2 linked regions of the Lepisosteus oculatus genome follow. The protein of the gene in region 1 binds, or shares a complex with, the protein of each later gene. Links are inferred from orthologs where the notes say so. Each region holds a gene or a part of one and is shown on either strand. Other genes may lie near its edges.

Region 1 (7,314 bases):
TAGACACGTGGGGAGCTTGAATGGCTTTTTATATGAAAACTATCCCTGTCACGTGTGACACAGGTATATAGTGTGTGGTTACCGAGCGGCTCCGATACTCACCCTCTGTTTAATTTCTTCCTGCTTCTTCTTTAGTCGACTCTCTTTCTCTTTAATCTTTTCAATTAATTTTTTCTTCTCTGAAACTTTTACTTCTGGATTATAAAGCAAAGCAAAAGAAGAAAAGCACAAGTAAATTATTTATTTTTGTTTATTACTGTGCAAAAAAACTGATAAAAATGACAATTTCATTCACTGTTATTAAACAGACTAAAATAAGACTATCTGCTAAATGCTGGCTTTCTCCTTTCTCACCTGTTTTTTTCTCCTCAACCTTTTTCCCCTCTTCCTCCTCCTCCTCATCGTCATCCCAATTGTCCTGCAGAAGGAAAGGAGCAGGTAAAGTTTTTTTCAAGACATCCCACAGCAGCTCACGGTCTAACTGAAGTCTCTACCGTCTCCTGTAGCTAATTAGACTGCCTGCTTTTGACTTCAACTGACTGGATGAACTTGTTAAAGTGCTATTTTCTCTCTTCATAGAAAGCGCAAACCCTGGTCAATTTGTACGTCCAGTCAAAGGAATCTTCTCCCACAACCAAAACCAACATTAAACTTCACTGTCAACAGGATACCAATGAAGAAGGTGCCTTGGTCATTCAATGAAGACACTTCTGTTTTAAGCTTATGAATAACATGAACCACATGCATGTATGTTTTATTAGGGTCAAGGCTAACTATAAAGATCTCACTGGTCAGCAGTCAGCAGTTGACCTTGTGCCAGTGCTTGAGGATAGGACCAGGAGAGTTAGGCTCACTGGTACCGAAGACATTACACTGCCACTTGCTCTTCCTCCGAACATCACACACACAGGCACGGACAGCCATGTGTGTGCCAAGAACTGGAGGTTCACATTACACCGGCTCCTTCGTCACTCCTGCTGCCCTGCGCAGTGTGCGTTTTTAAACAAATGAACAAATACTGAAGTTCGCAAACCTGAACCGTTTTAACTTTTCTGTTGCCATTTATACAATACATTACACAGCGCTTAACTTTACACACAAAGTGGTTTTAAACTGAACGGCACTTTCTGGACAAATCATCAGCAGTCTTAATGCTTGATTTCTTAGAAATAGATCACACCCTGTGACCTTATCCAACAATATCTCTGCCCTCTGTTAGCTAGCTCAGCTCATTTCAGGGTCAAAATTATCTTTATATCTGAAAGGAAAACCAGGAACTACTGTAAATTGTTTGAACAATACTTTCCCATAGTGCAATATATGAATCCTGGTACTCAACCAAACGAGCTGATCTGCGGGTGTAAGCTGTTGTACAGTAAGCACTAGACCTTTCTGTAGCATTATTGACTCCCTGCCAGGGAGGATTCTGGAAAAGATCGAACAAAGACTAGGGGCTCACAGAAATGGTTCTAGGAATACTCATTGTGTCTCTGATGTCACCAGTGTCTTGTTTCAGCTTCAATAACCAACAGAACCTGGGTTTAGCCTGGGCCTACTAACCTAATAGGAAACGTTCACATTTGATAGATGTATAAATGGATCCCACTGAGATCCCTCAGAGACAGCAAAGTCAAATGTGGAAAAAAAAAGATGAACTATGGAAAGAAAACACTGTTACAGGTAAAGGATAAGATCCGGTTAGAAACAAATGTTAAAGCTTCCCAGTTCACGACCTATACCAAACATTCCAGGTTAGCCATTGCTGAAATACAGACATAGTGCAGAGGAAAGGTACGTTCACAACATAAACCATTAGAACTAAACATTCCTTATGTAACGATTAATGCAAAAGCCACATCCTCCATTTAATATTTCTAAGAGGTAACTCTGTGAGGTATGACTATTTAAACTTTTTAAAACTTCGCTTAAAAACCATCAAATCCCCCCAGAACTACAAACACACGTATTGCTCGTTGGTTATTGACATCAAGAGCAATAAGATGACTTAACTGGTGTCGTCATTTCTCTAAAATCAAGGTTAAAAAAATGCACCGGCTGACTCAAACTAATGCAATCCAGTCCGTCATCCGATCAGGCCCAAAGACGGCATGACTGCTCACTCCTGCCATAGTGCGCCTCACTCCCCCGAGTACTCGCTCTCTAAACACACGCTCACTTTTAATCTGTACAGCTCCGTGTGTAACGACGGGAATCCAGCGTTATCTTTAGACGCAGGAGCACACGGTGCCATCACTTGAAAGGAGGGGTACTGTCACGCACTCCCGCTAGCTCTTCTTCAGAGGCGAAACGCCGACCTGCCACGAGTAAAACATATGGGCACGACTCGCAGCGCGTCGCCCTCGTTCAAATCGACTCCCGACAACTCTGCCGATTCGCAGCAAGTTGCTGAACACGGGCTACTATAAGAAGAAAATAAAAACACAGACGGGGGCTCCTGTGAAAACTGCCGAAGCGGAGCGAATACAGTCAGCCGCTCACTCGCTCTCACATGGCCTGTCAGTGCGTCTATACCGGCAGCCAGCGTTACACTCTTTCCGCACAAACACAGCGCGGCGCTCGGAAAACTGCACAGGAGGGAGAGAGAGACAGCCACAGCATGGACAAAGCGGATCTGCAAACAAAACCCAGATCTAAAACTAGTAGTGTACCCTCTTGGTTGCTGACTATAGCGGCCAGACAGCAGCGCCCGGGCCCCCGCGGCCTGTGGCGGAGGTCCCGCTCCGGGCTGCCTGGACGCCCGTATCTACCTTCACATCTTCCTCCTCGTCTTCGCCTTCCCACCGATCTATCGCGGCCGCCTTGTTGATCGGCTCCTCCGGCTCGAAATAGTCCGCGTCTGTCAAAACACAGAGAACAGACTGTCAGCCGCGGGGAACAGCACCGCACGCATATCCCATTTCTGTATTTTTTTTTTCAAAGGAAACCAGTCACTCCCGTCGGAGAGTCTTACCCCAGGAGTCAACATCCGCCATCTTTGCTCGCTTTCGATGTGTGAGTGAGGCTGAGTCAACGAGCGAGCAGGTCCTACTGGGCTGGCGGCACCACCGCGCCCTGGGAATGATGGGATACAGGAAGACTGCCGCTAATATGTTCCATCTCACCCTCTGCTGGGAGTGTTGTGCTATAGCAATCCAACCTCTTTTATCCAGTCAAATGTATTATTACACCGTCCGGCGCTTTCAAACTAACACCTGAAGAAGGCTCCGCAGCCGAAACGTTGTGTCTTTTCTTTTTCTTTTGGCATGGAATAAACCTTTACCTGTTCCTTTGCAGCCTACCCGTGCTGACGCTGCTACCTACTTGAACGCTTTCGAACTAATCCTAGTCGCCTAATGTTAATTCGAGCAGTTGTATGACTATTGACAGATTGTTTCATTGAGCCTTTTTACTATATAGTAAAAGACGCCGCTACCATTGTCTGAGGCTGAGCTCAGTGAACGCTTTACATGTGTTGAACTTCGGGTCGGTCGGTGTGCAGTAGAATATATATACTGTGTGGTTGTGCATCAGCGCTCCGGATCTGGAATACAATCGCAGGAGAGACCGTAGAGATGCTTGATTTCGTTTAATGAGCAATGTTTGAACATCCAGATGCACACAGGACGGACGATATTCTCTACTATACAGAAGTTTTATTATACCGTCCTTTTTATGATATTTACGAAAAATAAGTTCAATACAATAACCATATGAAATTCACACATCGGTTTTTGTCGTGTTATACTAGAAGCACACATCAGGCATTTAAATTAATCACCAAGCACAAAATTAGTAAAATATTGTGCAGTATCACTCCAAGTAGATTTAAAATTATTACAATAACAAAAATAAATCTTGAAAATATATAACAAGACGCTCTATTATATAATTGTACTTAATAGTTGAGATCAAGGAACTATATAAGTAGATTAATTGAATATACATTTAAAATAGCACAATTTAACATCTTAATTCAGTGAAAGCAGTAAAGCAGTATGACGATAATTACATGACGTTTTCATTTATAGTTTCATATGAGAAATACAAAAAGGAATCGAAATGTGAATGTATACAGTATATTCCGTACGAGCGGTACAAAGCCTGAAAAAGCAAAACAAAGATAATTAAAACAACATTCACAGCAGACTGAAAAATAACGAAAAGAATATAATGACCCAGCTCACTTTTTAAGAAATAGTCTCAGTTTTTACAAATATGTGAAGACATCAGCCATTTTTACGTTGCGTAAAAAGGGATATGTGTAAAACACGTTTTACTCCAGGACTGTCCAACCCCGGTTGGACAAAGGTCTCTAGAGCAGCATCACCTGCAGAGCTGACGGGAGCTGTTCAATCGGTCCAGTTAAACCAGTAACCAGCTGGTTTATCTCGTTCAGGGCGGAGCTGGAATGAAAACCCGCAGAGTCACCGGCCCTCTGGGCCCAGGGTTGGACAGTCGGTGTACACCACACTATTAATGTCCGCAACATTTCGAGACAAAGAAAAAAAAAGCCTTACAGAAAATTCCTTCTAATTCCGCAATAGCCGTGGAATAACAGGCGCTTGATAATAAGTGCTACAACTGACTTTATTATTCATCATTCGTGATTAACATCATCATTTGCTTTTAGTCTGTGCCACCTTAAAACACACCAAGAGGGCTGGTGTTTTGTGCTTTCCTACTACAGTATAAAACGTAGGCACCTGCCATTCAGTTTTAAACAATGTTCTCTAGAATCCTAGTTTTATCCACTTTCAACTGATGAAAAAATAGGTAAGTCTCTCTATTGTGGACCATACTAATGATATTGGTTTACCAATACCAATATTGGTCAAATGTGGGGAACAGTAACTACATCATCTCAGTTGTAAACCCACACCCCTGTGACAGGACCGCATAAATGTGGAGTTGAAGCAGACTTTCCAACACAATCCTAAGAACACGCTGTTAGGCTCCAGATGCCTTTAGAGTTGAATCTGTTTATGGACACATATCTGACAGTTTGTATCTAAATATTTTTTCTTCATCCCAATATTTACTTGGGAAGTATGTTATTTCTGCACCTGGGTAGCATAATTCCAGTTCTTTTCCCACCCACGTTCTTAATGATGTAATTTAACTGATTGCTGTATTTAATTTGATGAGATGAGTTCTTTTCCCCAAGTCTTACTCTCTTGATGATCAACAGAGAGCTGCAAGGCTGTGGGACTGTTGGACTCAAAGATTTATGCAACACTAATAGAGACAAAGGAAGAAGGCCAGTAAATTAGAAATTAACTACATTGCAGGTGGAGAGGTTGAAAAGCAGGTAAGGAGTCCTCTGTGTGTGTATGAACATGTGTTTGTGTGTGCTTGTGTATTTGTATGTGTATCTACATGCACGTGTTTGTGTGCACGGTTGTGTAGTTGCAAATTAGTGTGTGTGTGCTAGTTTGTGTACATGCACAAGAGTGTGCTAGTGTGAGTACATGCTCATGAGTGTGTGTGTGTGCGCATGTACACGTTTGCGTGCATGCACAGGAGTGTGTTCTAGTGCGTGTACATTCACATGAGTGTGTGTGCTAGTGTGAATACATGCATTTGTGTGCATGTACATGTTTGTGTACATGCATGAGTGTGTGTGCTAGTGTGCGTGCGTATGCACATGAGTGTGTGTGTGTGTGTACGTACGTACATGCACATGCACATGCACATGCACATGAGTGTGTGTGCTAATGGTGTGTATTCACATGAGTGTGTGTGCTAGTGTGTGTGTACGTATGCACATGAGTGTGTGTGCCAGTGTGTGTGCAAGCACATGAGTGCTGCGCAGGTCTGGCTCAATGAAGCAGGCTGTGTCCAGACAGGAAGAACGACAGCAGGCCCAGGAACAGCACGGAGGCGGCGGGTTGCAGCGACAGTCCAGTGGACCTTCCTGTCAACGAGAAGAGCAACACTGAGGAACTGCACTCTGGGTAGCAATCAACAGCAGCAGCAGCACCGCAGAGAGAGGAGCACGTCAGGCACCGCCTTCTCCAGACATTTGTTTCTGTTATTGTTCACCTGCCAAACACGCTTCGTATTTCCAGAGATTTCATGTCAGTGTGAAGGATTTAAGTTACCACTCTAAGAAGTGCTCAGGTCTGGGAAGATGGAAAACACTTGCTGTCCTACAGTATAGCTGCCTTCATAGCTCTTTTGTCTTAGGCTCCATTACAACTCTGGAGTGACACACCAGTCCATCCTGTTCATATCACTGGGCTCTGGGCGTGACGATCTGTCTGGCTGTTTTGCCAAGGTCTCTTTCATGGGAGAAGTGAGAAGAAGACAACCCACACACTACCACACTAATGTAATTACTGAGCCACATGTTCTTTATTGAAATCAGCGACAAAAGCACAGCGTTCGGCTCCTTCATTGTGAACAAGTATCAGGTGAACATTCAGTGTTGATGAATATTATATGAGTATCAAGGTGCTGAGGATCATTATAAAGTGTGAATGCTTGTTCCAGGGGCATGTGCTCGTAGGTATTATAAATGAACTGCCCTGAGGATGGCTCTGTATCTGAGATATTTAGAGTATTTAATGTCTTCTTTGTGCTTTTCAGCCTGGAATGAACCTCTGCTCATTCCATTACACGAATCAGGCTCAGAGTAGTTCCGTCTGGCCATAGCGAGTTTCTCAGTGTAAAGCAGTATGATGTGAACGGTTATCTCTGCATCTGCTGTTGCTATATGCCAAGTTGACATTTCTAGCTATCCCCCTGCTCCTGGTTTCTGGAAAGCCATGGTCAAAGCAGATATTGACCAGGCCATGTCAACATGAGGACCATTGTGGGTTTTTTTTCCCCATTGACTCAATTTTCGAGAACGACCAAGAGATTCAGTTTCTTCTTACAAGTTTGGCTGATAGCTGTGAGATACTAATTGTGGTGAGAGGCGCTATATAAAGCGTAAGGTAGTGTGTCGCACCCCTGAAGTCCACGGGCTTGTCCTCCCAGGGCGTCAGCACCATGGACAGCGCTGTGAGCTGCATGCTGCTCAGGGCCTGGCGCTGGCTGGAGGTCACAGCTGCAGCCTGGTCATAGGAGAACATCCGGATCTGGTCCGGACTGAACACCACCTGCTCAGGGGCAGGAAAGGGGGCAAGGTCATGAAACACAGGGACAACACTCATACAGGAAAGGACATTTTCTTAACCGCTGGTCAGATTTTTGGAAATCCCTAAAACATCAAAAGCTGAAGAACTTTTGAAAAAAGAGCAGGAAATGCTATGCTGGCACAGTTAAGAAAATAACTAGTTTAATATTCTAATGAAGATCTTGGTTGGACAG
Region 2 (7,515 bases), on another chromosome or scaffold:
ATTAAGTATGAGCTGACACCTCCTGTGTGAAAATAGAATGTTTACGTGCCCTAAAAAAACAAGTGCTGTCATCACAGGTTTATGTCCTTTGTTTCTTGTCTACATTTTATTAAATAAAATATTTCTGCATCTCAATTTAAAAGAACGTTTTATTAAACTGAGAGCAAAAATCCAAAAAACTAAAAGGTAAAGAAAATCATACTTCATGACAGTTTTTCCTCAAAAGCACTATTTAATGAAGACAAATACTACCCATGTTAATATGGTATTAGTCAGAGAAAAAAAAGTGGTTTTGTTAAAACTGTTTTTCTATAATAGTTCTATTTCTTTTTGTAATACTATAGTTATTCTGCTTGAGGAATGAAGATGGAAAGCTTGTATCTGATATTTTTTAAAGGAATCTCTTATTTAGAAAGATGGTTGCTACCCTGTTTGACCAGTGTTTCCTAAATTTCATTAAAATACATCAACATATAAAACCATTAAAAAGTATGAAAGGACAAAATACTTTTAACAGTGGACTTGCTAAGGTACAGGCTTTCACAGAACACAGACAAACATCAGCCTGGTTACAAATAATTCCTTATGCAACATACAAAACACATTTTAACGTTTTTGATTTCTAAGCATCAATGCAATGAGAAGTCTAGTGCACTGCCACCACACCAGTATGTATTGCTGATTAATTACATATAAAAAGCAGCACAGTGTAATTAACATGAGAGGTGAATTTGATTCAGTTTTACAATAAAAGTGATGTATTATAGCTTAGCCTATATTCTAATAAGCATTATTTTGTTCTGCAAATCTCTGAAAAAGACTAGTCTAATTATTTTTTGGGTAAAAGGCTTTTGAGTTAAAACTAAGTATTTACACCTTTAATATTACTACTAATCATATTTTAAAACTACTATTAATAATAATAATGCTGTTTCTCCTTTTGTTGTTAGTTTCCTCATCAATGTATTTCCCGATGTTCATTATATTTAGGCTACCTCTACTTTATCTGGTAGTATTTATTCGTATTTGAAACCTTTGTGGGAAAAAATAAAACGCATTCAAATTAAAATTAGAATGTAGTTGATTGTACACAATAAAAAGGGGTTGAAATTGAGATTCGTTTAACACTTTAAAACAGAAGAAATTCACACAGAAGAAAGACTTAAATCTACTTTTTTCAACTACATTCGGCTCTTCGATGACTTTTAACTGTGAGCGAACGGCACCCTCTATTGGCAGACTCTAATATTGCAGTTTCCATCCTAAGGGAACATTTGTTTAAGTCTCTTAATTAAAAATAATTATTACGCTTATGTAGCTCTTTTAATTCCAAAGGATCCCAAAGAGACTAGAAGCACAGTATTCACTTGGATGAGCAGCCCTGCCGCACAACAGATTGGGAAGGGAAATCAGCATTTGCTTTTCTAATTGAATTAGGAGGCCCAACTGGGCAAGCCCATGGTGGAGCTTAGCCTTGACAGTGGGGTTAACAACTCTATTACCTGTAGATTTGGAGGCACCCACCCCCAAAAAAAAACAAAAACACCACAAGCAATGACGCTCAATGCATTGGACCTTGGTTTGACATTTCATCCAAAGTATGACACCGGCTACAGCACTGTCATTAGACATTGCTTTTGAAACTGCGGCCCACTGGGAAGAGTGTCACCTGAAGCATCAAGCAGCAACTTGGATTTCCCTGGAGGTCTCCCATCTCAGTACTTACCAGGCACAGTCTTGCTGTTCATCCAGCTACTGATTTCCTATTTTAGAAGACTTGCAGCAGCCTTCAGGTTATTTTTCAAAGGGCTGGATTACACACCTTGTGGATTTTGTCACACCTGGATTTGGGGGTGGGAGTGTGGATTAGTAACGAGGGGCTCTGGACACCAAACCAGGAGGCCATGACTGCACTTCCTGGGTGGCACCCTGCTGTCGTCCCCTTGAGCAAAGTACTGTGCTTCTCTCAGTTTGCTCCAGTATGTGTCCTGCTGCATAGGTGGGTAAAAACCAGGTTGTCAGTGTGAACTAGAGTTTAAGGTATCTGGTGAAATAATTACAAATTATTTTGAATTAATTGATAGGAAAAAGATGTGCCTTGTTCATGTGGTAAATCCTGAAGAATAACATTAAGAATTATTATTATTAATATAATTTTGATAATAATATTGAATAGGCACAGAAACCATCACCCCAGTAGATTTCTTCAGTCTTAATGTAGAAACGTGAACCAGAAGAAACAAGTGGATCCTATGTAAAAGTGTGGAAGTGTATTTAAAAGTCAGCCAACATTTCTAAAGAAAGGGAAATATTTTATAACAAAAAGCCAACATGGGTACTTGCTGTACAAGATGACAATGCATAATGTAAACCTTGTAGTGGTTTTATTTAATAGAAAGATAATAGTGGGTGTTATCTTCCAAAGCTGAAAACATACCTCGATATTATGTGATTAAGCTAGAACTCCTAAAATCTGTAACATTAAAGAGCAAAGAGTTTTCACCACCGACGTACAGTAATGATGATGTTCCCATCACAGTAACATAACAATTCATTTGGGAGATTCCTATTGCTTAGAATTACACTGTGGTAATTGTAGCAAGACTAGCATATATCACCTTTCAGAAAGTATAACGGTAATACATTGGGATCATTGATATACAGTATGATTTACTGTTATACCAAACGATACTGTTTCTGATCAGATGTATATTTTATGCCCGATTAACTGTAAAATGTATCTGACGACTTTCCAAACATGTAGCCCTGTAAAGCAAGTTGCCTTTTCCAATACCATTAACATTTCACGCAAGAATGGAGCCTGTCCTTTATTTCGGATGTGACTAGGAATTCGAGGAGCTGAATCGCGGTATTTTCCATTGTGTAGCAATAAGTGGTACACTTCACACTTCCCCCACCTCTGTCGATGTTCCAATAGCTCTTAGGATTAGGCAGTTTCACGACAACGTAATTGTTTCGTTAGTATGCATAATTCATTTTTGTGTAGATTGTGTGTAACACTTTAGGTTTAAACTGATGAGTATAGCTGACATTCTTACATGCATTTACATTGTATTTTGCACAGATTGCCTATTTATTATTTTAAACCGTGCATTGCAACAACGTATGTGATTATGCCCGTGCAAGTACAGGCGTGGAAATACATTTGCATAAATAGCGGGACTCAGGACTTGACCAGGTAGCGCTAGCAGGCAGAAGCGGTTACATGCATTCTTTCGTTTTGAATACACAGCTGTGGCAACATAGTGCTTCTTGAGAAACTGCGTGGCTGTGTACACTCTTCATTTTGTGGATGCTTGACCTGGTTACGTTTTTTCCATAGCAGTTCACGCAGACGTCGAACTTGATTTGCAATATGGGCAATCGATGTAAATCGTGGTGCGGTGAAGACACCTTGATTATGTAGTAAAACTTGTCGACTTCATTGGTATCATTCTAAAAAGAGTATGGATTCCTGTCTGCATCCTCGCCGACTCCATCTCGCTACAGTATCTACAGTATAGTGTTCCTACTATTGGCAAATAAAACCACGACCTAATGCAGGGGAAAGTACACAATCAACAACACATATAGCAAGTACAAATAACAGCTAGTTGCTGACAAACATTTCCTCTTCTTTTAGAAATAGAGGGAATAGAGGAAGGTCAGCACCTGATTGTTTCCAGTGCTAGAAAACGGAGAATCGACTGTGCTTGTTATTCCAAAAACCATTCTTAAGACAAATTAAATTTCCCTAAGCATATGTCTCGTTTCCGACTTTGACAGTAACATTACTGTGAAATAACGGGAGAAAACATGTCCTTTGGATAAATCTTATGATATTTTGAATAGCTCATTGTGAGCCTCGGATCTGCATATGCCTGTCCACACCAGTGATGCAGAGAGAGAATTAGCAAACGTATTATTTTATTTCTTATGTATTGAAAATAAAATTAAAAGAAACATTAATAGAACTATTAGATGAACTCTTATGGACACAGGATTTTCGTAATACAAGACAAATGCAACTTTCATTTTATGTCTTTGTAAGTAAAATATGCATCAAGATTATAAAGCACATGTATTACACTGTACCACAGATTACTGGTTTAACAGCGAAACCTGTTTTTACACCTGCTGTCACAATACCGTATTTTTTAACATCGTAAAACGCAGAGGGCAGTCAATTGCATTCACTTATTCTTCGATCACAACCTCTCTACGAACAGCGCCCCCCATGATTGAGTCTGCACTGACTGGTAGTTTTAACACAAGCAAAAAGTACCACGGCCGGTTCCACCACAATCCCAGAATGCACAGCACGTCGGGTTTTACTCCGGAAGTGAAGGCCCTTTTTTCCTCTTTCCTGTGCACGTTATGTGTGTTGCATGGTTGTATTCTTAGCTGGAATCTATTACAGACTGAAAGGGGACCAATCCTAAAACCATGTCATACCAGAACGAGGACGTAGACGGAGATGTAAGTACTGTGAGTAACGCTATACTCGTTCTGGAAAAAGTCGAATAATGCACATGAAATAATCACTCTCCTAAATAGAGCTGCCGACAGGCGGAGGCCCGCGGCATACAGTGGTCATCTTCAAATTGTTACATATAGTAACGTACATATAGACGAGGGTGTAATTGGAAGGAAATACATTAATTTATCGTTTTTATGATTCCGACGTATAGTCTACCCGTTTGACAAAAAATAAAGAGTATTGTTTTAGGTGGTCAACTACCTCATACATTAGTTTATACCTCATCATGTGTATTCTTGTGCATCGGGTGTGAATAACTGTGTTGCTCCCTGTGAATATTGGTAAATATTGCATTTGACACTTGCGAATTCCAAATGTTTAAACGTTTTTAAGTAAAACGGGGGTGTTGACTGATGTTAGCCTATTTTACAGCTCTAAAATGGACTGTCTGCATTTTCCTTTTTAATTTATCAGCTGTTTTCTTTCTTTTGGCAGTATGATCCCTACTCTTACTCCAGTGACTACGACTTGCACACGGGTGAGTGTTTTAAGAGTAAAAAAACGTAAGCTCTCGGCTCATTCATCCCCAACAGGGTGATTCCATTCAATTAAAAATAGTTTATTCCAGCAGCCAGCAGCCATATCAGCCTGCAACTCACAACTGGCAACTCACTGAAGCTCAGTAGGTGTGAGCCTGGTCAGTACCTGGATGGGAGACCTCCTGGGAAACACTAAGGTTGCTTTCTTAGTGGGGCCAGCAGGGGACGCTCACCCACTCAATGTGAGTCTTAATGCCCCAGTATAGTGACGGGGGACACTATGCTGTAAAAAAAGGCGCTGTCCTTCAGATGAGGTCCTGACTCTCTGTGGTCATTAAAAATCCCAGGGCGTTCTCGAAAGGAGTGGGGGTGTAACCCCCAAACCCCAAAAGTTCCAATTGGCCCTTACCAGTCATGGCCTCCTAATAATCCCCATCTATGAATTGGCTTCATTACTCAGGTGATGTGTGGGGAGTGTACTGCCATCACCACATCAGGTGGATTGTGCACAGTGGTGGTGGAGGGGAGTCCCCATTACCTGTAAAGCGCTTTGAGTGGAGTTTCCAGAAAAGTGCTATAGAAGTGTAAGAATTATTATTATTATGATTCATATGTAAGATATATGCATGAACACATTTGCAAAGCTGACTACTGGTAATATTTGTACACTACATTTGCCTTTCTTATGTTGTCTCTCAGGTGACCCTAAAGCAGACCTGGCTTATGAGCGTCAGTATGAGCAACAGACCTACCATGTCATCCCAGAAGTGATTAAAAACTTCCTGCAGTACTTTCACAAAACGATCTCAGACCTCATTGATCAGAAGGTTTATGAGCTGCAAGCCAATCGAGTGTCCAGCGAGAGCATTGAGCAGAAGATATATGAGATTCAGGATGTATATGAGAACAGGTATCGCAAGGTTCTAGTACACATGCTCACTGAGAGTACACAAACCATTACCAGCAGAAACATGTTTTTGAATAGGAAAAGCAGAAATGTATATGTCTGCTTTAGCTCAGAAGCATCTGAGAACAAGTACAATAGAAAACAGATCTTTAAGTCCATCAAAGCTTACAGATTCCTCAGATGTCAATAATTATGTGGTTCTTAAAAGATCCCAGTTTATGACCTTAAGCACTATGTTTTGGCTTTAATTGGCTTTAATTGAATGTGCTCTTCGTAAATTTGTGGCTCCCCGTCTTCTGCTTGGTGATTCACCTGCTGTAAATGGTTTGTCTTTCAAGTTATTTTCTCCATGTAGCCTCTGTCTTTCCTAAATTGCACATTTCTTTTCCATTTTTTAATTAGACGTATTCTTATGAAAAGCCAGGTGTTACAGGTGTTTGTATTTGTGTCCTTTGTTTATGTGTACTGTTTCAAACAGAGGTGGCTTGCAGTTGTTAAATAAAGGTCTGTGTACCTATACCACTTCTCTCCCTCTTCTCTGTAGCTGGAATAAGCTGACTGAAAGATTTTTTAAGACCTCCCCATGGCCAGAAGCTGAGGCCATAGCCTCCCTTGTGGGAAATGGTAAGTTTTTATTTTAACAGCATTAGCCAAAAAAATCTTCTGCTTTTCATTTTTTGCATTTTGTTTTTCATATCAGAATAATAATTGATTAGCAATAGTGTCTGCTGAAGCTGTGTAAAAGATGTTTTAATTTTGAACATTAACCCTTACCCATATCAGAAAGAGTAATACTAAAGGTAATAAAACTATTAATTATTAAGTTTTGTTCTTCTTGATATGGTAAAAATGTTTTTAATAAGAATACTGATGTAAGTAAAATGTACATCAAGGAGATTGTGAGGCACACTATCAGTTTCTGTCAGGGTGTATTACACTGTAGCACAACTAACTGATTGGTAAGGCTATTTTAAAATAATGTATTTTTGAATCACAGAAGTGCTTAATCCTCACTCAGGAAAACAAGGTAAGAGTGCTGCTAAGAAATAAAATATTTATAAGCCATTTTACAATGTTAACCTCAAAATAGAACAATAGTTAGAAATACCACATTTATAGGACTGTTTTGTAATTTAGATTAGGACTCTTTTTGCTAGAATTCATGCATCTTCCTAAAAGCAATCAGTAAATGTATTTACTTTTGGGCCTTTTGTGTGAATCCCACAAGGTTAGTGGCTAAGCTGGTGTGGCATGTGCAGATAATTTTATGAGAAGATAATTCAGCATCTTAGGTTCCTTTAAACGCAGTATTTGTCATTTTAACCTGAATAATGTCCTTGTGTTTTATTTATACCTCATTGTAAAAGTAGTGTTTAGATTGTGTGACAGCATCTTTTTCATACTTAATAAAATTGTAGTTCTGTAGAATAAATTAGACTTCAGCAATCACTTCTAATTATTTCCAGAGTTGTGTTAAAATGGCTTTGTTTTCTCTCAGATGCAGTGTTCCTGATTCTCTATAAAGAACTGTACTACAGACACATCTATGCAAAAGTCAGCGTGAGTCATCCTGTCTTTCCTTTGTATAT

What was found.
Region 2: eif3jb (region 1) and eif3s6ip share a complex: the UniProt entries of both Homo sapiens proteins name them as parts of the eukaryotic translation initiation factor 3 (eIF-3) complex. The link is inferred for Lepisosteus oculatus from reciprocal best matches to the Homo sapiens genes EIF3J and EIF3L.

What each region holds. Positions count from the first base shown.
Region 1 is NC_090700.1:47,204,949-47,212,262, reverse strand, and holds the start of eif3jb (eukaryotic translation initiation factor 3 subunit J-B), read right to left. Parts: upstream 3,084-7,314; 5' UTR 2,994-3,083; coding exon 2,972-2,993; intron 2,858-2,971; coding exon 2,769-2,857; intron 946-2,768; exon of another isoform or gene 810-945; intron 419-809; coding exon 355-418; intron 195-354; coding exon 103-194; intron 1-102. Other genes in the region: strc1 (stereocilin), read right to left, coding at 5,820-5,914, 6,953-7,103. UniProt on the Homo sapiens protein: Component of the eukaryotic translation initiation factor 3 (eIF-3) complex, which is required for several steps in the initiation of protein synthesis.
Region 2 is NC_090712.1:11,362,535-11,370,049, reverse strand, and holds the start of eif3s6ip (eukaryotic translation initiation factor 3 subunit L), read left to right. Parts: upstream 1-4,341; 5' UTR 4,342-4,446; coding exon 4,447-4,488; intron 4,489-4,975; coding exon 4,976-5,018; intron 5,019-5,718; coding exon 5,719-5,929; intron 5,930-6,470; coding exon 6,471-6,550; intron 6,551-6,923; coding exon 6,924-6,953; intron 6,954-7,424; coding exon 7,425-7,486; intron 7,487-7,515. UniProt on the Homo sapiens protein: Component of the eukaryotic translation initiation factor 3 (eIF-3) complex, which is required for several steps in the initiation of protein synthesis.